Coturnix japonica: one gene and its partners. The protein of the gene in region 1 interacts with the protein of each later gene in a pairwise test. Links are inferred from orthologs where the notes say so. Each region holds a gene or a part of one and is shown in the gene's direction. Other genes may lie near its edges.

What was found.
Region 2: the proteins of GOLGA2 (region 1) and ZBTB16 interact in binary tests that used the Homo sapiens proteins (3 or more experiments, as listed by UniProt). The two-hybrid records come from large-scale screens. The link is inferred for Coturnix japonica from reciprocal best matches to the Homo sapiens genes GOLGA2 and ZBTB16.
Region 3: the proteins of GOLGA2 (region 1) and TRIM29 interact in binary tests that used the Homo sapiens proteins (3 or more experiments, as listed by UniProt). The two-hybrid records come from large-scale screens. The link is inferred for Coturnix japonica from reciprocal best matches to the Homo sapiens genes GOLGA2 and TRIM29.
Region 4: the proteins of GOLGA2 (region 1) and YJU2 interact in binary tests that used the Homo sapiens proteins (3 or more experiments, as listed by UniProt). The two-hybrid records come from large-scale screens. The link is inferred for Coturnix japonica from reciprocal best matches to the Homo sapiens genes GOLGA2 and YJU2.
Region 5: the proteins of GOLGA2 (region 1) and GEM interact in binary tests that used the Homo sapiens proteins (3 or more experiments, as listed by UniProt). The two-hybrid records come from large-scale screens. The link is inferred for Coturnix japonica from reciprocal best matches to the Homo sapiens genes GOLGA2 and GEM.
Region 6: the proteins of GOLGA2 (region 1) and LYPLA1 interact in binary tests that used the Homo sapiens proteins (3 or more experiments, as listed by UniProt). The two-hybrid records come from large-scale screens. The link is inferred for Coturnix japonica from reciprocal best matches to the Homo sapiens genes GOLGA2 and LYPLA1.
Region 7: the proteins of GOLGA2 (region 1) and TSSK3 interact in binary tests that used the Homo sapiens proteins (3 or more experiments, as listed by UniProt). The two-hybrid records come from large-scale screens. The link is inferred for Coturnix japonica from reciprocal best matches to the Homo sapiens genes GOLGA2 and TSSK3.

What each region holds. Positions count from the first base shown.
Region 1 is NC_029532.1:3,750,313-3,753,812, forward strand, and holds part of GOLGA2 (golgin subfamily A member 2), read left to right. Parts: intron 1-110; coding exon 111-224; intron 225-532; coding exon 533-757; intron 758-967; coding exon 968-1,067; intron 1,068-1,159; coding exon 1,160-1,248; intron 1,249-1,827; coding exon 1,828-1,981; intron 1,982-2,112; coding exon 2,113-2,180; intron 2,181-2,741; coding exon 2,742-2,844; intron 2,845-3,038; coding exon 3,039-3,145; intron 3,146-3,329; coding exon 3,330-3,498; intron 3,499-3,500. UniProt on the Homo sapiens protein: Peripheral membrane component of the cis-Golgi stack that acts as a membrane skeleton that maintains the structure of the Golgi apparatus, and as a vesicle thether that facilitates vesicle fusion to the Golgi membrane.
Region 2 is NC_029539.1:3,817,701-3,821,200, reverse strand, and holds part of ZBTB16 (zinc finger and BTB domain-containing protein 16), read left to right. Parts: intron 1-3,351; coding exon 3,352-3,500. UniProt on the Homo sapiens protein: Acts as a transcriptional repressor. Transcriptional repression may be mediated through recruitment of histone deacetylases to target promoters. May play a role in myeloid maturation and in the development and/or maintenance of other differentiated tissues.
Region 3 is NC_029539.1:3,276,284-3,280,306, forward strand, and holds the start of TRIM29 (tripartite motif-containing protein 29), read left to right. Parts: upstream 1-1,223; 5' UTR 1,224-1,280; exon of another isoform or gene 1,281-1,360; 5' UTR 1,361-1,534; coding exon 1,535-2,395; intron 2,396-4,023.
Region 4 is NC_029543.1:756,138-760,208, reverse strand, and holds the start of YJU2 (splicing factor YJU2), read left to right. Parts: upstream 1-1,271; 5' UTR 1,272-1,359; coding exon 1,360-1,383; intron 1,384-1,556; coding exon 1,557-1,657; intron 1,658-2,152; coding exon 2,153-2,297; intron 2,298-2,505; coding exon 2,506-2,640; intron 2,641-2,793; coding exon 2,794-2,975; intron 2,976-3,208; coding exon 3,209-3,329; intron 3,330-4,038; coding exon 4,039-4,071.
Region 5 is NC_029517.1:114,174,241-114,178,178, reverse strand, and holds the start of GEM (GTP-binding protein GEM), read left to right. Parts: upstream 1-1,138; 5' UTR 1,139-1,279; intron 1,280-2,692; 5' UTR 2,693-2,702; coding exon 2,703-3,036; intron 3,037-3,938. UniProt on the Homo sapiens protein: Could be a regulatory protein, possibly participating in receptor-mediated signal transduction at the plasma membrane. Has guanine nucleotide-binding activity but undetectable intrinsic GTPase activity.
Region 6 is NC_029517.1:99,796,605-99,800,104, reverse strand, and holds part of LYPLA1 (acyl-protein thioesterase 1), read left to right. Parts: intron 1-184; coding exon 185-286; intron 287-523; coding exon 524-697; intron 698-2,376; coding exon 2,377-2,430; 3' UTR 2,431-3,500. UniProt on the Homo sapiens protein: Acts as an acyl-protein thioesterase. Hydrolyzes fatty acids from S-acylated cysteine residues in proteins such as trimeric G alpha proteins or HRAS.
Region 7 is NC_029538.1:4,558,886-4,562,327, forward strand, and holds TSSK3 (testis-specific serine/threonine-protein kinase 3), read left to right. Parts: upstream 1-1,397; 5' UTR 1,398-1,410; coding exon of another isoform or gene 1,411-1,446; 5' UTR 1,447-1,447; coding exon of another isoform or gene 1,448-1,497; 5' UTR 1,498-1,613; coding exon of another isoform or gene 1,614-1,705; coding exon 1,706-1,850; intron 1,851-2,206; coding exon 2,207-2,868; 3' UTR 2,869-2,942; downstream 2,943-3,442. UniProt on the Homo sapiens protein: Serine/threonine protein kinase required for spermatid development and male fertility.

The sequences.
Region 1 (3,500 bases):
TGGTATCCCACTGTATCAGGAATTAATGTGGTTTACTGATTTAGCTTATGTGAGCAAATACTTATGGTGATTGGGGCAGTTTCCTTCTATGATGCTTTTGATTCTTGCAGACAAATGAAAACATGGAGGTTACAAGTGCCCTGCAGTCAGAGCAACACGTAAAGAAGGAGCTGGCTAAGAAGATTGGGCAGCTGCAGGAGAACCTGGGGGAGCTCAAAGAGACGGTAAGCAACAGCAGAGGGACAGCAGGGCAGGTGTGCAACAGTTTGTGCACAGGAGAGCTGGCAACTTACCAAACTTTGATGGAAAGATGGAAATTGGTATTGTTAATGATCAAGCTGGGAGCCCTCCCGTGTCACCTGCTGTCTGATGCGGGGGACCAGCATGTGGGGACAGATGGTGGCTGCCGGCCTCGGTGGTGGCTTTGGGGCAGCATTGACAGTTTGGATGGTGCCACACGAGTTGTCATCTTTTTCTGGCAGAAATGATTTGATCTGATGGTTGTTTCATGTGTTGTATCATGTGTTGTTAGCTGGAACTGAAAACACAGGAGGCTCGGGCTCTGCAGGAGCAGCGGGATCAGTTCTATGGCCACTTACAGCAGTACACTGTGGCATACCAGCAACTGGCTGCTGAGAAGGAGGAGCTGCAAAAGCAATACTTGCTTCAGACACAGCTAATGGACAGGCTGCAGCATGAGGAAGTTCAGGGGAAGGTGACAGTGGAAATGCACCTGAAGGAACTGCAGCAGACGAAGGTAATAAAAGAGGGGCAAGTGGAAAGACTGGAGGCAAAATGCTTAATTGCACCACATCCTGTGCAATAGAGGTGAATTAGAGACAAGTGATAATTGTGGCTATTTGTGTGCTTGTTTCTGTGGTGCTGTTGCTAGTGACTGTTTTCAGTTTGGTTTGTGCGGGTTTCGGTGAGGAGCTTTTCTCACTGACGTTCTGCTTCTGACTTGCAGGAAAGTCTGGAAGTTGTAGCAAAAGAAAACAAAGAGCTGCAGGCCCAGATCAGTCAGTTAGCAGCAGAGCTGGATGGCAGGATGCTGCACAGACTAGAAGGTGCGTAGCTGCAGCTGCCCTCCAGGGACGGGAGGTGGAACTGGGCTCTGAGGGGTATTTTCACCTCATTGTTCACCTCCCTTCCTTTCCAGGAGATGGAATTGAAAGTGAAGTGATGGCTGAAGAAGTGAAAAACCCTTCGTTTGTGATCCCAGAGAAGTTTGAAAGCCATGAAGAAATGGTGGGTCTCAATGGGTAGAAAAGCCTTTGTTCTCAGTTGTGAACAAATGTCTAGGAGAGGAGGCAGATTGAATTGCAGAGGTTCTGCAGTGTGTATTAAGTTGTTTACCAGCTGTGCTCCCCGCAGTTGAGGCACAGAGAACTGCTACAGTCCCCTTCACACAGCAGCAAAAGAACCAAGAGGATTTCTACAGTATGGTTGAAAAACAAGCTGGAAGTCCAGCAATGGTTAATTACAAAGACAAGCCAGCTGGCAGAGTGGCTCTAACTATTGTGATGATTGATGTTCTCCTCACTTTGGAAGGCAATTAGGAAGTGGTGTTGAACGTCACTAATTTGTTTTTGTAAGCGGAAAATACTGTGATCAAACAGTGGGAATTCAGGTTTCACCTGCAGAGAAGAAACGGTTTGTGCTACTTGACAAGACACGCAGTAGTTGCTGCCTGGGTTGGTCTGACGGGTTTCCTATCCATAAGTAAAATGGGGTTAATTTCTGTTATTCCCCTTACCATGAGATGCACAATTGATCACACTTCACACAGGACAATCACTAACGTGAGTCCTTTGCAATTCACTTCAGGTGACTTTCTTGACGTCTGCCATGTCCCAAGTGGAGAAGGAACGAGAAGAGATGAGGCAACAGTTGGCTGCTCAGAAGCAGCAGTGCAGAAACCTCCTGCAGCAAATAGCAGCTCTTCGGCAGGAGCAGCAGCGTAACATCACACTGAGTGAAGGTAAATCTTGGGTACAGTGTGAGTATGGAGATGTGCCCCAACCTGGCCCTGACCTCTGTGAAACAGTCCTATGGGTTTTGTGAACGAATCATGCTTAAGCAGGCACTGTCAACTACAAATGTCCTTTCCAGATTCCACTATGGGTAGTGTTCCAGTAGAGGTTCATGAGGCTTTAAAAACTGCCATGGAGAAACTACAGGTAAGCAAAGGGTCTCCTCTTTCTGCCCCTCTGCCTCACTTAGCTCAATTTGCACCCAGTGCCAGACTCTTGAATCACACACGTGTTGCAGGGGAATAAGTAGCAGCTGTTCCATGATAATAACCTAATTCCTAAGAAGTGGCTTTCCTCATGACTTGTCTCATCATAGCTGAGCTTCCCCTGCCCTGCCCAAAGACTGTAAGGGCCTAATGCCCATTCCTGGTCTCTTCCTAAAGAAGTAGATGAAAAATAGACAGACTTCACCGTGCTGAGACGAAGCAGATCTCTCCAAGATCTGCAGACTAAGTGTGACCACAGTTGTGCTGGCCCAGCAATGAGAAGGCACTTTGTTCCCTCAGTCCTTCTGCTTCCCAATATGCAGAGATGCTTTGCTCTGCCTTCTGTAGCTCTGTTCCTTTTTACTGCCAAATCAGAGTAGTTGTAAAGGCAGCACAATTTGTTCCCTGGGCTCAGACAGCTGTGAATGGAGGGTGCTGTCTTTAACACGGGTATTCCCATATGTGAGCAGCTGAGGTGACTCACACCAATTTTTGTGTCCAGGCCCGTTTCACAGATCTGATACAGGAGAAAGCTGATCTGAAGGAACGGCTGGAAGAGCTGGAACATCGCTGCATACAGCTGTCTGGGGAAACAGACACCATTGGTACGTTTATACAACACAACACAAACCTGGGCTTTGGGATCTGAGTCTGCCACATGCCGAATGGTTCAAGTCTTGCTACCTAGCTATGCTAGGCTTCCAATCCACAGCTGGATCTTCAGGCAGCATAGGTTTATGCTCACAGTATGGCTTGTACATCAATCTCACTTATTCCTTATGCTTCTCTTGTGTTCCAGGGGAATATATAGCATTATACCAGAGTCAAAGGGCTATCCTTAAACAGCGGCACCAGGAGAAAGAGGAGTACATCAGCAGGCTGGCTCAGGATAAGGAGGAGATGAAGGCAAGGAATCTCTTCTGTAGTACTACAGACACAGCATACACTTATAGGCAGGCCTGGGGGATACCTGCACAATGTAAACCTTCCTTTGTTGTTCTTGAGCTGGCTTTAATTTTGAAGTTTTAACAGTGGCAAAACAGCAAGCTGGATATGCACGCTGCTTAAGTTTTCCTTTGCTTTGGTGCAGGTAAAATTACTGGAACTGCAGGATTTAGTGATGCGTCTGGTCAAGGAAAGAAATGAATGGTACAGCAAGTATGTAGCAGCTGCTCAAAACCCAGAGCTGTTAGCAAGCCAGAATGAAAACGCACTGCCAGTGGAGAGGCGCATTGAACTGAACGCTACAGATGGAGAAGGT
Region 2 (3,500 bases), on another chromosome or scaffold:
GCAGGAGAGCTTGGGACTGGCAGCTTGGTGGTACCCAGCAGCTGATGGTGAGCTATGGAGAGAGCTGGAGGAGCTTTCTTTGCTTCCAGGAGGGCTGGGATAAGGTTGTTCCTTGCTAAACTGAACTTTTATTCTTCTCTTTTATTTAATCTTAATAATATTGAGGCAACTGTCATCCACAACTGAGGTTGCTTGGGTTTAAAAAGAAGAAGAAAACAAGGTGGGGGTGGGGGGGAAAGCACTGTGTGTGTAATAAGTTGATCCGGTATAATGTGACATGTGACCTTCTTAGGGGATGTGCCATCTTACCCCACTTCATCGGCTTAAATGCAGTAGATGCACATAATCAGCTGGTACTCGGCTCTAATGGGATTACAGTGACCTGGGCTACGTGTATATGGTATTTACACTGCACGCCCACCAAGGTGCTTTTAGGTTAAATGAGAGCTGGGGTATGAAACCAAGGATTTGACCGTGTTACTCGGTGTCCTTAAACCACCTGCCTGATGGTGGCCCTGTCCTGCTGTGCTTTGCTCCTGCTGTGTGTCTCCATGTGATAACTGCTGTGGGACTGCAGTGTAGGGAGAAGCAGTTCTTAGAGCATAAGACTGCCTCATATTGTGCCAGGGAAGGTTCAGGTTGGATGTTAGGAAACATTTCTTCTCCAAGAGAGTGCTTGGGCACCATCATAGTTGTCTGTTGAGGTGGTGGGGTCACCATCCCTGGAGGGAGCATGGAGATGTGGCACTGAGAAATACAGTGGGGTGGGATGGGGTTGGGGATCTCAGTGTTCTTTTCCAACCTTAATGATTCTCTGGCTGATCATATGTAGGAAAGAGGTGTGAGTGCATCCCATCCAAAACAGAAAGTGAAAGTTCCCTAGTAGATTTAGTACCTGAATATGGTGTGTTTGGAATAACCGAGCAACACTGTAGGACTTTCCTCCTGCTTTTCTTTTTGCTATGGGAAAATGGCCCTTCAAGCTTCTGATGAGGGATGGCCTCCTGCAGTCCCCATGTGCTTCTGTCCTCAGGAAGGAGCTGCTTCTCCCCTTGTTCATGGCAATGAGGTTGGATCTGGAGCCTCGCAGCACCCAACACGTGCAGCAGCGTGGCAAGCCTGGGGAGCTGACCCTCGCCCAGCTCAGTGATTAGCAGGATTGTGCTGCTCCACGCAGCAGAAAGCTGGCCTGTAATTTGCAGCCCAGCTATGAATCAGAGTGACTGAAATTGCTTTTTGCAGCGGTGGGGAGGCGGGGATGGTTTGCAGGTGGGTGGAGGGAAATGCTCCTCTCCCATCTTTTCCCACACCAGTTGTGAGGCTCGTGCTCCAGCAGCACTGTGATTGCTGGGGGGAGGCAGATGCAGATTGTTTGCATCTCTTTTTCTTCCTCTTTTTAACCAGTTTCCTGTACACACATGAGCTGGGGCAGCATCACAGAAGGTCTGCATCACCAGTGCCTGTTGGTCCTGCATCCATACTCCCAACCAGGAAACCCAGAATCACACAGTGCTTACGATCCCATTAATGCTGGGTGGAGCAGCTATTCATAGCAAGTAATCCAGTGACCTGGGCTGCAGGCCACTCTGTGTGGGTTCTGCCCCCAGCCCCTGATGGTTTATTAGCTCTTGGCTTTAAAAATAAACCAGGATCCCTCGGAGCTTTATGAGTAGTTAGTTGTGCTCCGTGGTTATTCTTGGAGTGGAAGCACAATGCTGAGTCCACAGAGAGCTCATGATGTGGTGCTCAGCTCTCTGCTGTCCTTGCCTGGCAGCATCCCAGAGCTGGGAGAGCACAGCAGGAATAGGAGGGTCTTTCTTCATTATAGAGAGGATAAAGGCTGCAGCCCTTGGAGGTATCCCAGCCCCTCTTTCTGCTGAGCAGGTCAGAGTATGAAAAAGGAGGGGATGCTGGTGTTGTACAGAAGGGTTTCAATGGGGCTTCTCTGCTGCTTATTTATAATCCAAACCCTTGCACTGATTTCCTCAGTGCCAGTGGATCCATTGCTCTGCCTCTATGGCACAGGGCACCAGGTAGCAGTGCAGAAGCGGGGTCACAGGTGCTGGAGGGGATCTAATTAGTCCCCTTTGTCCTGAATTTAATGCTAGGCTCATTAAGGGTTCTGCAAAGTTAATCAGCGTGCCACAAATTGGATTTTAATTTTTTTCCCCCCTGGTTCTGCAACCAGAGCAGTGCTGCTGTGGGGATGTGGGTCCCATTAGTGTCCCCGCATTGGCGCTGTGTGTGTATGGAGGGTGTGGGTCTGGCCCTCGAGATGCCGTGTTTAAACTCATTTACCACATGATCAGGTTGATAATTAAATTCATGCGGATCCTGTCAAACCAGCTCCGGAGTTTAACACTTCACTTAAAGTACCAGGGTGCTGTAAAGAAGCAGCAGGAGGAAAAAAAATCACTATTCCCATGGGTGGCTGAGGCTAAACGAAAGAATCCTTCACCTGGCTCCCATCTCCAGGTGTTCCCATAACTATTGAGCAAATGGGAGTGATGAAATGGGCAGCTGGATGTTACTTGATAGGGTGGTTCTGGTTGGAAGGCATCATCCAGTTCCACGGGTCCATTTGGTTTTAGGAACGAGGAGTCCAATGGAAAATAGAAACAAACCTGCAGCCCGCACAGGGCAGTGTGATTAAAGATGTGCATGTTGGTTTGGGGGGTGTGTAATGGGGGGGTGTTTGCACCCTGTGGGATCGTTGCTGGTTTGCAGCTGTTGGGAAACAATGCCGTGCACGGAGCAGCAGGGCTGGGGGGAGAACAGGCAGAGAGTAAAATATCATTGCAAAGAGGAAGTGAAAGCACAGGCATGTGAGTATATAACTAGAAGGACAATTTATGCCCAGGCACGAGTGCAGTTTGACATGGGGATAATGAAAAAACGTAGGTCATTGTGGATGACTTAAGCCTTCACAGCTGAAGAAAATGTATGAAATGCGAGGAACATTACACGCTTGGCAGCTCTGCACATCTGCAGTAGGACAAGTGAAATACAGTTGGCCATTCTTTACCATAAACTGTGGTTGTAGGATATGCAGCACAGAGAAATTGTAATTACAGTGACAAGACAAATCAGTAATATTTAAATATTCATGAACAAAGTCTTGGACGATCAATCTATCTTTATTGTCCTTGCCTTCACTGCCGTAATAAATAAGTAGCTGGAGCTCTCACCTTTCATTCAAATGATTCTGAGTTTGGTGCTGAGCCCAAGTTCATTTATCAGGGTGCTGAGCAGCGCTGCGGGGCTGATGCAGGCAGAGGGCTCTGAGTGTGCAGCACTGAGCTCCTGCAGCCCCACATGCCTGCCATGGGGCTGACCCATATGTGCTTGCAGGTGACCACCCCTATGAATGCGAGTTCTGTGGCAGCTGCTTCCGAGATGAGAGCACGTTGAAGGGCCACAAACGCATCCACACCGGGGAGAAGCCCTATGAGTGCAACGGCTGCGGCAAGAAGTTCAGCCTGAAGCACCAGCTGGAGACC
Region 3 (4,023 bases), on another chromosome or scaffold:
TTACAGCAAAGAAAATAATCTCATACTCAACCAGTGACACCATCCTACCCAGCAAAAATCAAATTAAGTACAAATCAAATACTGGGCAGGGTTAATTTCCAGCCTGCATGTTAATCTCAGAGCAATCTCACTGAAGTTCAGAGTATAATCTATGCTACATTGATGTGAAATGGGTGTAGGGTCCACCTCCTTCTTTTGAACTTGATGGAATTCAGCAGGGCTGATAAAGGGCCTTTTTCTTCTGAAATCTGTCATTCCAGTTGGCTGAATAAAAACCATTATGGGGTGTGGACTTCTCTCTTTCTTTTTTTTTTCCTTTCCCTTAATGAAAGGAGCGTTTCATGAGCTTTGAAATAATTTTGCTGTTTCTCCCTTCCGCTGTGCCCTCTCAATGGGGAAATGGAAAATGAAGGGGAAGCCAGGGAAGAGAAGAAGGAAAACTACCAAAGTTGCTTGATATGACACTTGAATATCTTTCTTTTGGATTGCAATATGGCTAATGGAGGGAGAAAGGCATATGTTTAAAACTCCCTTGCAGTTCTTTCTTCTTGCAAGAAGCATTTTGTCCATCTATCTGCAATATACTTAACCTTTCAGATATGTCTCTCAGTTCAGTGCATGTTTATGGGAGGAACACTTGTGTTGCACTGAGAACATGCAATGAAATGGGCATTGGGTGGGCTCTTCTATTTGTCACATAAGTTGTGTTTGCATGGCCTGCAGGAGAACACAGCTCCTGGCTGACTTATATTTCGGGTCAGCTGTGTTCTGGTTGGAAAACATTGGTTGTTTCCAGCTGTAGATGGATGGATCTGACACAAACCCAACATCATCATCAAAATAAAGATAATAGGGGTCTTTTAAGCCTAGTATTATCCCCGTGTTTCCCCTCCCTGTTCTATTGAATGCAGCAAGCCCTCGGGGGAACCCGGTTTAAGAATGCTTTATTCTAGGCATTCATTTGAATGATGACCATAATTATTTCTGTACATGTGTATGACCCAGTTAACAAACCCATCCTCGGCATCCCATGGTCTCTCTGACCCTGCCCATCTCAGCAAGGAGGTAACCTCAGCTCCTGGCAAACTTATTTTTGAAACAAGCGGTCGAACTGGTTACTGCATCTTAATGAAAATCATTTCTTTCTTTCTTTTTTTTTTCTTCCTGAGCATTTCTATGTATATAAACAGCCCTTCCTCCCAAACCTGGTTAGACAAGAATGTTGCTGGGTGTGGACCGCCTTGTATAATTAACTGCACAGCTGTGGCTTCTGATCCCTGGTAACGTCTGTTCCTTTCTTTCCTTCTTTCTCCCTGCCTCTACCTAGCATTATCCAGAGCTCATCTCCTCCTCCTTGCAGGAGCTCCAGGTGCGTCATTTGGGCAGCAGCTTCCCTGCATTCCCCCGTCATTCCTCATTGGGACGGCCAGCAGACAGGCACACGGCCACAGCTGCTTCCAGGGGTCGGGGGAACAGCACTGGGGGGACAGGACAGAGCCGAGGAGCTAAGAAGCCAACCTGCTTTGGTTTGACGATGGAAACAGGGAGTGCAGCAAGGACAAATGGCACTGCTGGGAAGCCAGAGGATGTGAAGAGTCCGTCCGCCCCCAAGAAGGATGAAGAAGTGAAGAAGACGACGAATCCTAGCGGAGGCGAGAAAGAGCCAATAAAGGGCACTGGAGGTACCTCCCTGGAGACCGGACAAATCAAGAGCTCTCTCTTCTCTGGGAGTGACTGGAAGAGGCCCATCATTCAGTTTGTGGAGTCGTCCGATGAGAAGAGATCGACCTACTTCAGCATGGACTCGACAGACTCTAAGAAGATGCCATTTGCCAGCGGACAGATAGGAGACATGAGGAGAACCCCACTCTCCTTTGCAGACAAGGGCGACCTCAGGAAGTCCCTCTTCAACTTGGATTCCAAAAAGAGCTTCTTGCCTAACGAAGGGGAAGGGAGGAAGCCCTTGTTCTCCAGTGGGCAGATAGGGGACATGAAGAAACCATCCATGCCTCTGGTGGAGACGGGAGACCTGAGAAGACCCACCTTCAACAAGGTGCCTGACAGAGCAGCTGGCTCACGGCCCAGGGTGAAGCTGGAGGATGTGCTGTGCGATTCCTGCATCGATAACAAGCAAAAGGCCGTCAAGTCATGTTTGGTGTGCCAGGCTTCCTTCTGCGAGCTGCATCTCAAGCCTCATCTGGAGGGAGCAGCTTTCCGGGACCATCAGCTCCTCGACCCCATCAGGGACTTCGAAGCAAGAAAATGCCCTGTGCATGGGAAGACCATGGAGCTGTTCTGTCAGACAGACCAGATGTGTATCTGCTACCTCTGCATGTTCCAGGAGCATAAGAACCACAGCACAGTGACGGTGGAGATCGAGAAAGCAGGCAAAGAGGTAACATAACACTTCTCTAATTGCTTTTTTTCCCCCCCTAATTATCTTTCCAATGGAACTCAATGTCACTACAGAGCTTTTTCTCTCTATCCTATGGCCTCTCCTAAAATCATGGCTGCAATATAATCCTGGGATGCAAGGGAGGTGGTTGGGAAGGCATACAGATCAGTACTGCTCAAGGTTGTGGTTACAACAGAAAACTGTGATCTCAGCTCCCCGGTGTGAGCTTCTGCTTTCTTGTTTGTATTTTCTGTTATGGAGATAATGATGTTGAGCCCCACCTGTAGGAAAAGTCTTTTGAAGCTTAGATGATGAAAAATACAACTTAGTGCAAACATAGAGCGATTAATTTTTTCCCTGAAGTGTTACTGCAGTCGTCTCAAAAGATGGACATCTAAAGAGATGGGACTGGCGTGTGAACCAGTGCTCTCTCTAATGAAAGTCTTCCACTTTTGTTTGCCTGAATTCTCACTCAAGTTTGCTTTCTGGGTGGATGCACCATTATCCCACTTGCTCCAGTGAATGTCAGGGTCCCACTACATTCAGTTCTCCTCAGGCTGGAGACCTTGTGGTCTATCCAGACAGGGAAGGAGAGATGACAGAAAGGAGACCCATAAAGCGGTCACATAAAACAATTTGCCTAAAGTTACAGCCAGCCCATGGCAGGAGCTGGAAGGGCACCCAGACCTGCTGGATCCCAGCCTTAATCACAGCCCAAGAGCTCTGATGTGGTGAACAGGCACGTACAAGTACCCACTGTTGGAAATTCTTGAGTTACACGTAATTCAGAAGAACAGTTTACAGTGCTAAGAATGTTTAACTCATAAAGCTGGAGGAACATCTCTTTTTTTAGAGCTTTTCTGTCTCTCCTTGCACAGTTTTTGGTGTTCTCATGCAATGCCATCTTCGCCTTGCAGCCTGACTGGAACCAGACAAAGCTTCTCCCTATATTTAGATGAACCTACACCACCTTGATTGTACGTAGGCAAGCAGAGCTGGGTGGAGGAACCTTCACCTAGGATTTAAATGGTGTTTGATTTCTCTCCCAGAGTGTTCGTGCTGTTCTGGTAAGGTCTGTGCTTGCCCTGTGCTGATTCTGCTGCTGCTAAGCCCACAGGATTTAGGGCTTTATCAATGAATCATACACATGTGCAAGTTTCTCCTGACAAGGAGCCTTGGTCGTGTTGTAACTTGAGGGAGTATTCACTCAGACAAAACCAATTAGCAGGAAAGCTGTTGCTTACAAATGTTTATTCCTAGCCCTGAACTATTCTCCATTGGTGGAGCCTTAGCAAGAACCACAGGGAGGGACGAGCGCTGCCAGGTCCCTTGTGTGCATCACCTCTTCTTTTCAAGTCTTGCAAATTGACTGAGCTGGAAGACGACCACAAATTGGTGGAGTGGCAAAGCCTTTCTTTATGGAAAGAGTGAGCAAAAAACCCCACAGTGGGGGAACCCCAACCCCATCGCTGCTGCTGTGGCATCACTTGGCACTCAGCAGGGTAGCTGTAATGCAATAAGGTGTATTATACTCATGTTCTTTCCATACTGCAGAATTAATGCAGTTTACAGCCCCTTCCATGAGGCTGATACAGGCCTGTAGGGAGGAAAGCTGCTGTATTGTGCTG
Region 4 (4,071 bases), on another chromosome or scaffold:
ATGGAGCTCCTGTGCTCAGCCCGGGCCCTATTTGCTCCTGGAAGGACAACCCTGCTCCCATCCACCATCATCACTGCACGGGGAGCAGTGGAAGCAGAGCTGTGTGGCCTCAAAGCGAGGACAGGAGTGCTGGGCTGGGGGGCTCGATGAGGACAGAGCACCAGGCCATGGGCTGCTGCCTTTGTGGGGTGCAGTGGGGCCTGTGGGGATAAACTGGGCTCTCCCACCCTGCTGATGAAGCACAGGGTTGGCCCAGGAGCCTCGGAGGTGCTGGAGCCGGCAGGTTCCCATCCTGGGCTCTGCTGGGGAGGGACAGCAGGCTCTCAGGGGTTAGATGACATCACTGCCTTTGAGACAAAGGCACTGAGTCACTCCATCCCCAGGCTGGATTTGGTTCTCAGGCACAGCCGGGGGAGTTTCCAACCTTCAGAGCAAGGGAGGCAGCGAGGGGTGGGATGGGATGGGATGGATGGGATGGGGTGGGATGGGGTGGGATGGGATGCGGATGGGATGGATGGAATGGGATGGGATGGGATGGGATTGGGATGGGATGGGATGGGGATGGGGTGGGATGGGATGGGATGGGTGGGATGGAGTGGGGTGGGATGAGATGAGATGGGATGGGATGGATTTGGGGATGGGATGGGATGGGGTGGGATGGGGTGGGATGGGATGGGATGGAATGGGATGGGATGGGATGGGATGGGATGGGATGGGGTAAACTGAGGCACACAAGCATGGGCAGTACCGGAGGGGCTCCATCTCTGGTCACACACAGCCCATAAATGAACCATCCCGGGACTCTGCCCCCGCCCCACACTTGTGATGTTCTCTGTAAAGCCATACATGCTGTGGGGCGCTGAGCTGGGCCGGCACAGTGTGGGGGCAGCTGGAGGGCAGGGGGGCTTTAATCGGCCCTATAGATCACACGGTCCCTAAGGAGGGCGCTGTGCCCCCCAGCACCTACACTGGGCCCTACATCCCAGACCCCCACGCTGCTGACAGCCTCTGTGCCCCCCCCATGTTCTGACCTGGGCCCCAGGTCCCGGTTCGGTTCCCATTTGGCCCAACCCCCCCATGTCCCGTTTCACCCCCCGCTCCGTCCCGTCCCCTCTCCACCCCGGAACCTTTCTTCAGGCCGCGGCGCAGGGCGGATTCTTAAGCTGTGGCACACTAACATCCGGGAAGTGGGCTGAGCTCTTTGATTGGCGTCAGAATCAACCAATAAAACGAGAGATCATTTCAGGCCGCGTCTCTCTCCACCAATGAGAGGCGGAGGGGGCGGGATTCCTATCCCGGAAGCGGAGGGCGGCGGCGGACAGCTCCGTGTACGCTGTGAGCTGAGAGCGGTGCGCAGCCATGTCGGAACGGAAAGTCTTAAACGTGAGTTGGGGGCTGTGTGGGTGCCCTGGGGGGTCTATGGGGGCCCCACATCGTCCTCAGGGCTCCCGGTGGGCACGGGGCGCTCTGGGGGCTGGGACAGGCCTCGGGGCCCGGCCAGGAGCTGATCGGTGACCGTGTGTCCGTTTGTGCGCCGCTCTATTGTGTCCGTGTAGAAATATTACCCGCCGGATTTCGATCCGGCCAAGATCCCGAAGCTGAAGCTCCCGAAGGATCGACAGTACGTGGTGCGACTCATGGCCCCGTTCAACATGCGGTGAGAGGGGTGGGGGGGTGTTATAGACCCTACATAGAGCTGAGGGATACAGCCAGCAAATGGAAGGGGAGGGGAAGGGAAGGGAGGAGAGGGAAGGGGAGGGGAGGGGAGGGGAGGGAGGAAGAAGAGGGAGGGGAAGGGAAAGGGGAAGGGGAAAGGAAAGGAAAGGAAAGGAAAGGAAAGGAAAGGAAAGGGGAAAGGGAATGGGAGGAAAGGGGAAGGGAAGGGAAAGAAAGGAAAGGAAAGGAAAGGAAAGGAAAGGAAAGGAAAGGAAAGGAAAGGAGAGAAGGAAAGGAAAGGAAAGGAAAGGAAGGGAAAGGGAAAGGAAAGGAAGGGAAAGGGAAAGGAAAGGAGGAAGAGAAGGGAAGGAAGGAGGGAGAGGGAATGGACTGTATGGGTGATAGAGGGGCTGGAGGTTCCACGTATCCAAAGGGGTGAATGTGCTCATGGTCTGTGCTGTCTCTTTTATCTCTTAATGTTGGGCTCCTCCTTTAGCTGCAAGACGTGCGGTGAATACATCTACAAGTGGAAGAAGTTCAATGCCCAGAAGGAGACTATTCAGAATGAGGTGTATCTGGGGCTGCCCATATTCCGCTTCTACGTCAAGTGCACATGGTGTCTGGCAGAGACCACTTTCAAGGTGAAATATTGGCACTGATTTCTCCTCTTCTGCTTCATGGGGAGGTGATGTGGGTCTGAGCTCAGTCTGATGGGGAACACGGCTGTCCCAGCACAGGCTGAGCCCTGAGTCCATCTGGAGCAGAGCAGGAGGCTGCAGGTGTTTGTCTGCCCCACATTGTGACTGGGGTGGAATTGCTCCAAGATTTGCTGCCTTACTTTTCCCTTAGACAGACCCTGAGAACACGGATTACACCATGGAACATGGAGCCACTCGGAATTTCCAAGCTGAGAAGCTCTTGGAGGAAGAGGAGAAGAGGATGCAGAAGGAGAGGGAAGAGGAGGAGCTGAACAACCCCATGAAGGTACTGGAAAATGCTGTTTGCAGAAGGCAAAGCTCTCTCCTCCCCTGTTTGGCTGTACCTGCTCAGCAGGTCGCCTCGTCGCTTCTCCACACTCATGAGGCTGTGCTGGACCTTATTGCCTTGTGTAGACCCAGCTTCCTTCTGGTTCCTTAGGTCCTGGAGAACCGAACCAAGGACTCCAAACTGGAGATGGAAGTTCTGGAGAACCTACAGGAGCTGAAGGAGCTCAACCAGCGCCAGGCAAACGTTGACTTCGAGGCCATGCTGCAGCAGTACAAGGAATACGAGGAGGAGCAGAAACGCAGGGAGCAGGAGGAGGATGAGCAGGAGATGAAGTGAGCGGGCTGGAAGCATTGCCATGGGTGTGAAACCAGCCCTATGGGGAAGGGCTCCATCTTACCATCTGCTCAGCACCCCAATGACTGTGCAGTGAGGGCAGGGCCTGAGGGCTGTGTGTGTGTGGGACATAGACTGGGTCCTGGTGCTGAATTCCAGCAGTGGGGAGCAGCATCCAGCAGGGAGCACAGGGACCATCCCTCACCCCCAGCTCTGCCCTCTGTCCCTGCAGAGCCATGTTGGAGCAGGCCCAGAACCGCCGGCTGCTGTCGGACTCCGACTCAGATGAAGAGCCTGCAAAGCCAGGAACCAAACGTGCGGTGAAATCAAGGCCTACAGATGTCCTGCAGGAGGTGAGCAGGGGGCTGAGGCTCATCCACCCGCTGCTCCTCCTCTGCCGCCCTGGGCTCTGCACTGTTCCTTCTGTCCCTGCTGCCCGTCACGCATGAGCAGCTCAGAAAACGCATCCTGTGCACTGGGCCGAGAGGAGACAGGGATCAATGGGTGATTTCAGTCTGTGGCTGCTGACAAAGGAGGCGGCATCAGCTGCGATGGAGCTTAGGACGAGGCATCCCTTCCCCTTCAGCCTTCCCCAGGTCTCAGTCCCCGCTCAGGTACAATCTGAGCCCTCCAAAGGTGACTGGGAGTGAATCAGCCGCATGGGGCAGCCTCTCCTTTGCTTCCCTTCGGTCCGTGTTAGAGACAGGCAGGACAAAAGAGAGCTTTCAGTGCCTGCCTTGCAAGGGAGGGATTATCCCCACCAACAGGGCCCCCTGCGCTGCTGCTCTGTGATGTCGATCCGTGCCCGCGGGGACCCCTGTCCATTCGGACGAATCAAAGCAGCCATGTTTATAAGCCAGGCTGGGGTTAATCCCAGCTGTGTTCCTCTGCCCTGTGCTGCACTATGGGCACAGGGGAGCTCAGTTTGGCCATAGGACCTGCACAGCCCTGCGGCTCTTCAGCTCCCTTCTTGTGTGCCCGTGTTGTTTTGCAGTGTCCCTTCTCCCTGTGCCCCCCCATCACAACCCCACACCCCCCTAATGCTCCCGCTCTGCCCCACAGGACCCTCAGCCCCAGAGCAAGAAGCTGAAGACT
Region 5 (3,938 bases), on another chromosome or scaffold:
TGCAGAAGTGCAACAAAGCTGAAGGGGAGAGAAATCAGGCATATCTCAGTGGAAGAGTTTCATAAAGGGCTGCATTATCAGAGGAAATGTTCTGTACAAGGCTTATGTGAGACACAAAAATGCAGAAGTCTGTGACATGAGTGCCAGGCAGTACCAAGGGAAGGGATGTTCCACCCTGCACAGCGCTGGTGCTAAAGCTCAGCTGCCAGGGGAAGGGCAGTCACAGGTTTGGAAAAAGAAGGAAAAATAGTGGGAGTTTGCTGTAGACTTCTGTATAACTGATGGTATCCCTACCAAGTATTTTGTGGAGGTTTATTTCTTTGCTCTGTTAATTGTGATTTCCACACAGGCTGTTAGAAATGGCACCATTTGAGGAGCAGGCACATGCTTTGTGGTGCATACACTGTATAGCCATCTCTCCTAATAAACTGCAGACAGAATCTGCACCGTGTCGCCCGGGCTCTGTGCTCTGTAATTCACATCCGTCTTTGCTGGCGTCCAGCTGGAGCAGCACTCAGTCTGTGGGCAGCCGTTCTGTTGAGCCCTTGCAGGAGGAGTGCTGCAGCAGGGGTGGGAGATGGCTGGTAGAGCCTTGGAAGGTGATGGAAAAAGTAGGATTGTATGTTTTGGATCTCTTTAAAAGACAAATAAACCAAACCAAAACAAAACAAAAAAAACAAAACAACAACAGAATAATATTCATGCTTGTGAGATAATTCTAAAATGATATTCAGATCTTTTATTCCACAAAAAAACATCTTGTCCAGTGGGGAGTTAACTGCATTTTGCAGACAGAGAACATCACACATTTACTGCATTATATTCATTAATGAAACACGTAGTTTTAAAAACACCATTAATCCTGCTGGCGTTTGAATGCAGAACTGAGCAAGATGGAAGGACATGTTTTTTTTTAATTTTTCCACTTGCCTGTTTTCCTCATGTCAGCCCCAAATGTGTTTGTTTTACTGGCAACACCAAGACAATCATATGATTTCAAGTAAGTCTTTTGAGGCTGTTTGTAAGTTTTTGCTTTTCTGCATGTCTGCTTCCTCCCAGTTGGGGGTTGGCTGTTGGATGGAAAGGCCAACCACGTCACGGAAAAGCCCTGTCTCCGATCAGATGGGCTTAATATAAACCAGGTTCGCTGAGAAGGAATTAAAGAGGCAGCCCGTAAGCGGGAGGGGATTTACTCTGGCAGAGCAGCTCAGTGTAACACAGCCCACGGAGCGGAAGGCAGCGCGAATCCGGAGCTGACAGCGTGGACGGTCACATACAAGTAAGGAATCTCTGGCCACTGTGCATTGGGTCCTGTGTCTGTGGGGTTTGTTGTGGCTTTGTAGACCCACACAGCTGAGTGCAGTGCATGCCATCAAACCTGGGCTTGGACTGCGACGTGATTGTTTATTGATGGTCATCATTTGTTTGGGCTCTGATATCTGACTGAATTGGAATTGCTTTTTCTCATCTGGTCTTTTCACTGGGGAAACTGAAAGAAAGTAATGCATGGTAAATCAAACTGCGGTTCCTATCTGACTTTGTGAAGCAGGCTTTGCTTGATGCCTAGTTTCTTGTCAGAATCTAGTTTTGCCACTAAGCACTGCGTGTCACAGAGTAAGTACTGTGAGTGCTGTAATAAGATCAGATAGAAAGTGGTTTTGGTCTGCTTATTCTCCAGCCTGATCTATGTTCATTCTAAGAAGTTTTCAGATAGCTTTGTGTGAAAAGGAGTAGTGATCCGAACATGTTGTTTTCATGTGTTGCTGTGCTTGTTTTCATTCACCGCTTGTTATTCAAGTTTGAAAGTTCATTTCATGGGCAGCTCTCCTGCCTACTGACATGGAGAACAGAGCTGATAAAATTCAGATATACTCCAAAAAGCAAAATGTCCAAATAGCCACAGAAGTAACATTCCTAAAAATGGTAGCTGGTGGCCCGTGAGAATGACATCACTGTGCTCTGCCGCCAACCCGCTCAAAACTGAGTTTGCTAATTTAAGTGTAATTAGGGGCCATGCTAAGGTTGGAAGAGCTAACCTATTAGCTAATTGTGAAACAGATGAAGTTTCTGATTTAGTATTTGTAAACTTATGATCTTTTTCTGCCAGTGCCACCTTCTGTAATGGCTTGAACATATACCTCCTCTGAAAAGTCATTGGACTTGGTTGTGTCCCTGCTAGCAGCCAGAAAGCCACTGTTTTAAGCTTATCCCGACATAGATGAGACCCAAAGACATGTGCTTGCTTGCATGGCTTTCCTCTCCTATGGGAGCTGTGTAAGATTGTGAGTTTGAGGTATGAGGGATGGGTCCCTCTGCTTGCCCCAGGAGGCAGGAGGGCAGGGAGCGTTGCCTGCAGGTGCTGCCCATCTCTTGATGGGGATGCAGCCATATGTGAGCTCTGCTGAGTGCTTCCCTGCCCATACACTTAGCACTACAGGAAACATGTACAGGCTAAAGACAGAGAGGATTAGTGTATGGGGGTGGCATCATCCCCAGGAAAAAGCCTCTGACTCACAAGCTAGAAATATTTCTTTGCATACTAGTACTAGCAACTGCAAAAGTGTGGAGTCTCCTTTTTTGTTGTTGTTGTTGCATACTGTATCCCCATAGAAGAGCAGGACCTGATGCCTTGAGATGGTGTGTTTGTAAGTATTTTGAGAATAAAGTGTATGGCTTCCACATTTCTCACCAGGGGTAAAAAAATGACCCTCAACAACGTTACCATGCGTCGCACCCACCACAGCAGCCTGCAGCAGCAGCAGCAGCGATGGAGCATTCCTGCTGATGGGAAGAACCTGTTGGTCCAGAAGGACTCCAATGAGTACAATGTGCAGAAGCGATACACCATCAGTCCTGATGAATACTACAGAAGGAGCTGGTCCTCGGAGTCATCTGACTCTGTCATCTCCTCTGAGTCCTGCAGCAACTGCTACAGAGTGGTGCTGATTGGGGAACAAGGTGTGGGCAAATCGTCGCTGGCCAACATCTTTGCAGGGGTACACGACAGCATTGACAGCGACTGCGAGGTGCTGGGAGGTAGGTCACCATGCTCTGGGGTCTGTGTTTGCTCACCACCAGCCATGGCAGCAGAAATTGACGTGGAAAATCAGAAAGGTCAATTAATGTAAAATTGACCTAGCAAACATCTGGATCTGATTGTCAAAAGCAATTCCAACACATGCATCTCTCTTAAGAAAACAAGAATAAGCAAAGTAAGCTACAACGAGGATGGTACTCTCTAATAACAACTCAAAGCATCTGAAAAGGAACAATACAGATTCTCATGCTTTTTTATTTCAAAGAATTTGTTGGAAGCTGCCATTCAGTATTCATTCTGGTCCTATTCTTGTGTCACCACAGGCTCCAAAGGGCTATTTCCAGCTTTCTATAGGGCAGAGGAAAACAAGGACCTTTCCTTGTGGTCCACAAGAATGTAATGCTCAGAAATAATATGCAATGAAAAATAAAAAGCCCTATCCAATTCTCCAAAACATTTGCCATTATATGTTATCTCAGCCTTACATATGAATATGTTGTGTCAGCATAGGCTGTAGGGAGTCTGAGCAAAATATATCTACCCCTCATTTCATGTTCCCGTGTTAGTGAGGATTTTGAAACCTTCCTTAGTCCCAAAGACTAGTCATTGCAGAAGGTGAGGCTGTGGCACCCAGCCATGAGGGTGTGAGCAAGGTGCTGTGGAAGAAGGGACATGCAGTGATAGAAGCCTGCTGTGGTCCTAAGGACACAGGTGCTGTCATCTTGGTAACACGTGCAAGTTGCTGGCTGGTTTTGCTATTCAACACACAGAGCATTTCTCTCCTCTATCTGTTCCGCTTGTGCTGATGCCCATGACAGCACGGAGAGTTTCTGAGCTTTTTTTTTCCAGCCTTTGGTGGAGCATAGGCAGGACAGGTTTTTTGGTTCTTAAGCCAGGATTT
Region 6 (3,500 bases), on another chromosome or scaffold:
ATCACATGGGCTTGGAGGGGAAAAAAATGCACAATAAGTACATATAATACTGCTTTTAGTATTGATTCTAAGGAAGAATGAATTGGAATATAAGAAGTTCTTTAAAAGAGAAACCAAAGATCCTGAAACAAATGTTAGAAGTGACATTACCTTCACTATTCTAATACTGATCTGTTTATTTTAGGGTGGTGCTTTATCATTGTATACAGCCCTTACAACACATCAGAAGTTAGCAGGTGTTGTAGCCCTCAGCTGTTGGCTTCCTCTACGGACTTCTTTTGTTCAGGTATTTATTTATTCTTTCTGAAGCAGTTTTGCTGAGGCAAAATGAGTGTATCTGAATGCTGTATCTTCAGACTGCAGCTGGATAACTCAGTCATTCTCAGAGTAGGGCACTGGGGGTTTAAATTCTGGCAAGAAGGGGAATTGAAGAAGTACTCAGTGGTTACATCTGCTTAACATGGTATTCATATGATATCTCACCCCACTTATTTCCTCCTTCTTCTCTTCCCACCCTGGACAGGGTGCTGTTGGTGTCAACAAGGAGATTCCTGTACTTCAGTGCCATGGGGACTGTGACCCACTTGTTCCTTTAATGTTTGGTTCTCTTACTGTTGAGAAGCTAAAGACTATGATAAATCCAGCCAATATAACCTTCAAAACTTACTCTGGCATGATGCATAGTTCATGTATTGAGGTAATTTTCTTAATATAAATGTTTTAGCTAAGTATGATTTTACTTTTTCCTAACAATTACAGGGCATTTTAATTTAATTGTATTTTTTTCTATTAAAAGTTTGTGATGCCACTGACTTATTTTACTGTTTAACTCAATGCCTGTCTGAAAAAACATCCAAGGGAAAAGTTCATATGACCAGTGGGAAATTCCTCAGAGGAATGTATTTTTGGGGCTGGGATGGCTGAGCTATAAAACAATCTTATTTCTAATTTGTTTTCCTAACCTGTGTTAATCACATTAATAATTATTGAATTAGAAGGCAGATAGAATTCTCGCAGTGCCAATGCAACTTGGTATTTCAAGGAGAATTTTGCATGGTTTTGAATGGAGACATCAGAAAAATGTGGAAGGAGGGCTGATATTAGGGAAGTGGCAGCCTCAAAACATGCTTTTATGGCTCTGGATCAGCAAACAGTTGAGTTGATTTAATAATTCAAATGTGTAAATATGTGCTCCTTCTTATAACACTTAGTACTATGTGAGTAAAGAGTGAAATCTTTATCAGTGACATCAATGATGTAATCGATTGCACCCTCAGCAAGTTTGCTGATGACACCAAGCTGAGTGGTGCGGTTGATACGGAGGGAGGAAGGGATGCCATTCAGAGGGACCTTGACAGACTTGAAAGGTGGGCCTGGGTGAACCTAATGAGGTTCAACACGGCAAAGTGCAAAGTTTTGCACTTGGGCCGGAAGAACCCCAGGCACCTGTACAGACTGTGAGGAGTGGTTCTTGAGAGCAGCTCGGCAGAGAAGGGCCTGGGGGTCCTGGTGGACAAGAAACTTAACATGAGCCAGCAGTGCACTCCTGCAGCATGGAAGGCAAATGTTATCCTGAGCAGCATCAGGAGAGGGGTGGCCAGCAGGGACAGGGAAGTGATTGTCCCTTTTTACTCTGCTCTTGTGAGGCCCCATCTGGAGTACTGTGTCCAGGTATGGAACCCTCAGTACAAGAAAGACATGGAGCTGTTGGGAAGGGTCCAGAGGAGGGCCACAAAGATGATCAGGGGGCTGGAGCACCTCTCCTATGAAGACAGGCTGAGGGAGCTGGGCTTGTTCAGCATGAAGAAGGCTGCGGGGTGACCTCATTGCAGCCTTTCAGTACCTTAAGGGAACCTACACCCAGGACGGGAGTCAACTCTTCGAAAGGGCTGATAATAGCAGGGCAAGGGGACATGGATTTAAGTTGAAAGAGGATAGATTTAGGTTGGATGTTAGGGGGAAGTTCTTTACTAGGAGAGTGGTTAGGCCCTGGAACAGGCTGCCCAGGGAGGTTGTGGATGCCCCGTCCTTGGAGGTGTTCAAGGCCAGGTTGGACGGGGCCCTGGGCAACCTGATCTAGTAAAGGTGTATGTTTGGTGGCCCTGCCAGGCAGGGGGGTTGGAACTACATGATCCTTGAGGTCCCTTCCAACCCGGGTCATTCTGTGATTCTGTAAAGATACATTTAGTGCCTTGAAGAGTTAGCAGTGTTGACTTGCTGTGATTAAAACATGCAAATGTGATTAAAACATGTCAAATAACTAATTAAACATTCAACAGCCCAGCTGCTCACAATAATTGAAATTTTGAAACATTATGTGTAGTAAATGTGTATTAACAAAGAACTTGACTCATACGTACCTTTATCTTTGAACAGGAAATGATGGATATAAAGCAGTTCATAGACAAACATCTACCCCCTGTGGACTGAAATGATATGTGAGAAGCCTTCTACGTAAACACCAGCATCAACTGTGGTAGAGTTAGTCTTTTCACATGCCTGATAAGAAAGCATTACTTCTGTACCTGCAGTGTTACTACTGTGTTGCAAATCAATACTTAAGGAGTAAATTTTACACGTATGCAAGAAATGATAATCTTTCTAGTGTTGATCACCCACTGATGGAATTGAAAAATGATGCAGCTAGGTAACAGTGATGGAATGTAACCTGAATGTAACTATTTTAAGACTTCTGAATGCAGAATTTTGAACTATTTGTACAATCAAAGACTAAACTTACGTGAGCAACATAAATGTGACCAGTTTAGTATACTTGAGACATGATTTGTTCTTAGTACTCGTTGGAAATAAATTAAAACATTTCGTGTATGTAATGGATGTATGAAGTACACAACATGTAACAAAGTGAGCATATGATTGTAGAATAAATGTTACTGAGGACAAAGCTTTAAATGTTAAGCATTAATTGTTGCTCCAAATAGGAAGGGCTTTTCTTCTAGGACGACTATTACAGTCAATAGAAAGATTTCCTGTATTTAAAACGCCTCAGTTTTAAATGTTTTCATACAGGTAGATACCGTAGAAATTATAAAGGTACTCATTCCTCGTTAGACCATCGTTTGTTGCTGTGCTGCTGCCATTTGTTTTAGATCACTATAAATTGATGCCAAATGAAATGCTGACTCGAACAGAATTCTGAAGAAGCGCGTAGGAATAATTTGAATTTTGTTTAAAATTTCTATTTTCATATTGAATATTCACTCTATACTTTAAAGATGTAGCTTTCATTCATGTAGAAATGTCGATGATGTATTTTACATGAGCTATTCCACTCCTGCTGTGGAGTAACTAAATGAAAGCGGTGCAGCTGTGTAGTTTGTAGTTTTGTGTATTGCTGAAGTCTCATCTGTAACACATTCTTACCACCCACTACTTTCTTTACTTTATACTGACACTTGAGATTTGTCTGGGAAAGAACACAATGTTATTTTCAATTGTATGATTTTACATTTCTCTGGATTCTTGTAGCTTAAAAATAT
Region 7 (3,442 bases), on another chromosome or scaffold:
GCGGAACCGCGGGACGGCCCAAAGAGCGACGGACACGGACAGACACAGACACACACGGACACACACGGACACACACGGACACACACGGATAGACACCGACAGACACACGGACACAACCGACACGCGGTTCCCGCAGCTCCGGCCGCCGCCGCCCCGGAGCCCAACGGCCGCGCTGGGGCTGCCGGCCCCGGGCTGAGTCAGTGCCGCCAACCGAGCGCCCGGCAGCGCCAAGTGCGGACACGGCCGCAGCCCCGCCGTCTCGTACCGTACCGATCCCGCCCCGCCCGGTCCCGCCGCTCTCACCCATCGCGGATCCCGACACGGACGTTCCGGCGGCGGCCACAATATGGCGGCGGCAGCGGGAGGGCGGGGAGCGGCGGACGGCGGCCGAGAGGGACCGCGGCGGGACGAGAGCGGAGAGCAACGCCCCGAACGGGGTCACGGGGCGGGGCCGGGCTTCAACTCGCGGCCGCGGGTCCCGCGTGGATCCTCGTGTCCCGCCACGTGCCCACGCGCCGACACGACCCCCCCCATTGCACCCCCCAGCCCCGAGCTCCGTCCCGGGCCGAGCTGAGCCGGGAGCGGCGGCCCCGGGAGCCCACGGGACGCGTTGGGCCGCACGGCCGGACACACAAGGAGCAGCAGGCGGGGATCGCGTTAGGATGGGCCTTTCTTTACAAAGTGCATAAACATCACGGGCCGCTCAGGTGCTGCGGGGCCGGCAGTTCCCTCCCATGGCGATGAACACGTTGATGGGGATGTGCGGCAGCGTCAGGCGGTGGTTGGCGGGACAGCGCCGCAACTGCCTGCGGGGAGACAGGGGTCAGAGGGACGGCACAGCACGGCACAGTACGGCATAGTACAGTACAGTACAGCACAGTACAGCACAGCACAGTACAGCACAGTACAGTACAGCACAGTACAGCACAACCTGCAGCATCACAGGAGCCCCTTTGGACCCTCACCTGCCCGCAGTCCACGCTGTGCCCACCCGTTGCTGTGTCTCCAAAGCTGCGGCCGCACTACAACAGTCGCCCGCCTCGATGGGGAACCTCCGGGCCCGCGGCGCTTCCTGGGAGCTCATGGCCCGGCCCGGTTTTCTCTGCACAGGGAGAAGCAGCTGGGAGCTGCAGCGGGGCCTGGCTGCGATCCCGGCACCGGCACCTTCCTGCTGTGAAGGAGCCCGGCCTGGTTGGGCTGCAGGCGCCGGAGCAGCTGGACACACTCAGCTCAGACGTGAGGCCGCGGTGGGTCGGTGTGAGCACAGCTCTGAGCTCATGGGCGCAGCCTGGGGTCCCCTCCCTGCAGCAGCAAAGTGTTGTGTGAGCAGCAGCTCCTAAAGCCCCCCCGCCACACCCCGATGAAAACGGGAGAGGAACAGAATGGACCCTGTGACCCCCCTGTACTCACGGTGCCCACCGAGCAGGTCCTGCCCAGCACAGCCCAATTCCCCCCTGCCTGGCCGAGCTGTCGCCCACTTTGATGCACCTCCGTCATCTGGGATTCATGCAGCATCGGCTGCATCACAATAACACGCCCATGCTACAACAGGCGCCTCGATGCCCCTTCCCACCAGGGCAGGAGCAGGGCCTGGTGGCTCTACACGTGCCAACAGGGAGCACGGGGAGCCCCTGGCTGCTGCGATGCTGTTGTCGAGTTGCTGGGGGTAAAACTGAGATTGAACGGCCCCGATTTGTGAGAGGACATGGAGGAGTTTTTGCTCGCCAGCGGATACCAGCTCGGCCAAACCATTGGGGAGGGAACGTACTCCAAGGTGAAGGAGGCCTTTTCCCAAAAGCACCAGAAGAAAGTAGCAATTAAAATCATTGATAAAAGGGCGAGTCCAGAAGGTAAGAAGTTGCCCCTGAAGAGCTCCCAGGTACCGACCCCTCCTTGGAAGCTTTTAGTTCCAGGCAGAAAATGAGTTTCCCAAACTTTCCACCCAAGAGCAGGAAGGGCAGGGAGGTGCTGGGGGCAGGGAGGTGCTGGGGGCAGCTCGGAGCAGCCAGGCCATGGGGTGTCCATCCGGCTCCTCCAGCCATAAGGTGGCCAAAAGCAGCACAGCTCAGACCCCTCCGACAAGGGCCCTGCTTGGAGCCAGGCACCCTGGCACAACCCTTCTTCCTTCCCACTTTGTGGCCGCAGCCCGGTGCGATGCCGGGGCTCAGCAGCTCAGGAACTGAGTGAATTTTCCCCCTCTTGGCAGAGTTCATTCAGAAGTTCCTGCCCCGGGAGCTCCAAATCATCGAGCGCCTGGACCACAAGAACATCATCCACGTGTACGAGGTGCTGGAGTCGGCGGAGGGGAATATCTGCCTCGTGATGGAGCTGGCCGAGAACGGGGACATCTTCGACTACGTGGCACACAGGGGTCCCCTGCCCGAGCCCTGCGCCAGGGAGCTGTTCTGCCAGCTGGTGGAGGCGCTGCGCTACTGCCACGGCTGCGGGGTGGCTCATCGCGACCTCAAATGCGAGAACGCGCTGCTGCAGGGACACACCGTGAAGCTGACGGACTTCAGCTTCGCCAAGCAGCTCCCCGTGGGCAGCCGAGAGCTGAGCAGAACCTTCTGCGGCAGCGTGGCCTACGCGGCCCCCGAGGTGCTGCAGGGGGTGCCCCACGACAGCTGCAAGGGCGACATCTGGAGCCTGGGCGTCATCCTCTACGTCCTGCTGTGCGCCCACCTGCCCTTCGACGACACCAACATCCCGCAGATGCTGTGCCAGCAGCAGAAAGGCGTCTCCCTGCCCAGGCACCTGGAGGTCTCCAGGCCGTGCCAGGACCTCCTGAAGAGGCTCCTGGAGCCAGACATGGTGCTGCGGCCGTCGGTGGAGCGGCTCAGCAGACACCCCTGGTTGGCCGGACCCTGAGGAGCGCTCGGCTGCTCCCCCCCGGGGACAGATTGCTTCGAGGATGCCAATAAATTTGGATGTGTTTCCCACGTGTTCGGCCTCACGTGTGCTGCCAAGGCAGAGCTGAGGGCTGCTTCACTTTAGGCCATTTTTACCTGCCCCCTCCCAACCCCCGGCCTTCAGCAGGGAACAGAACAGACCAAGCAGCCCCATGTTCCCACCCCCTGTAGGCAAACTTCCCTTGGGATGAGGGGGAGGAAAGCAGAAACATAAAGCAGTTGATCCCCTTGAGGCAGCTGCCCCCAGCCCAGGGCAGGGGAAAAGGAAGGAGGACACAGTGGTGAGTGCGGAATTCCTTTAATTGCTGTTAACTGCAAGTCTGTAAAAGGTTTGGAGAAAGTTACAAAACTACAGATGTTAGAATTGTTCCTGGTTTTCCACCCCAGCTACAAAAGGCTCCGGAATAAACAGAGAATATTGCACAGACAACCAGACGGTCAGTGGGACTAAAGAAAAACAGGAGACATGAGAGCAGCGCGGCCCAGAGCTCCACATCCAGCCTGGGTCACCCTGAGCCCAGGGAGCGCAGTGC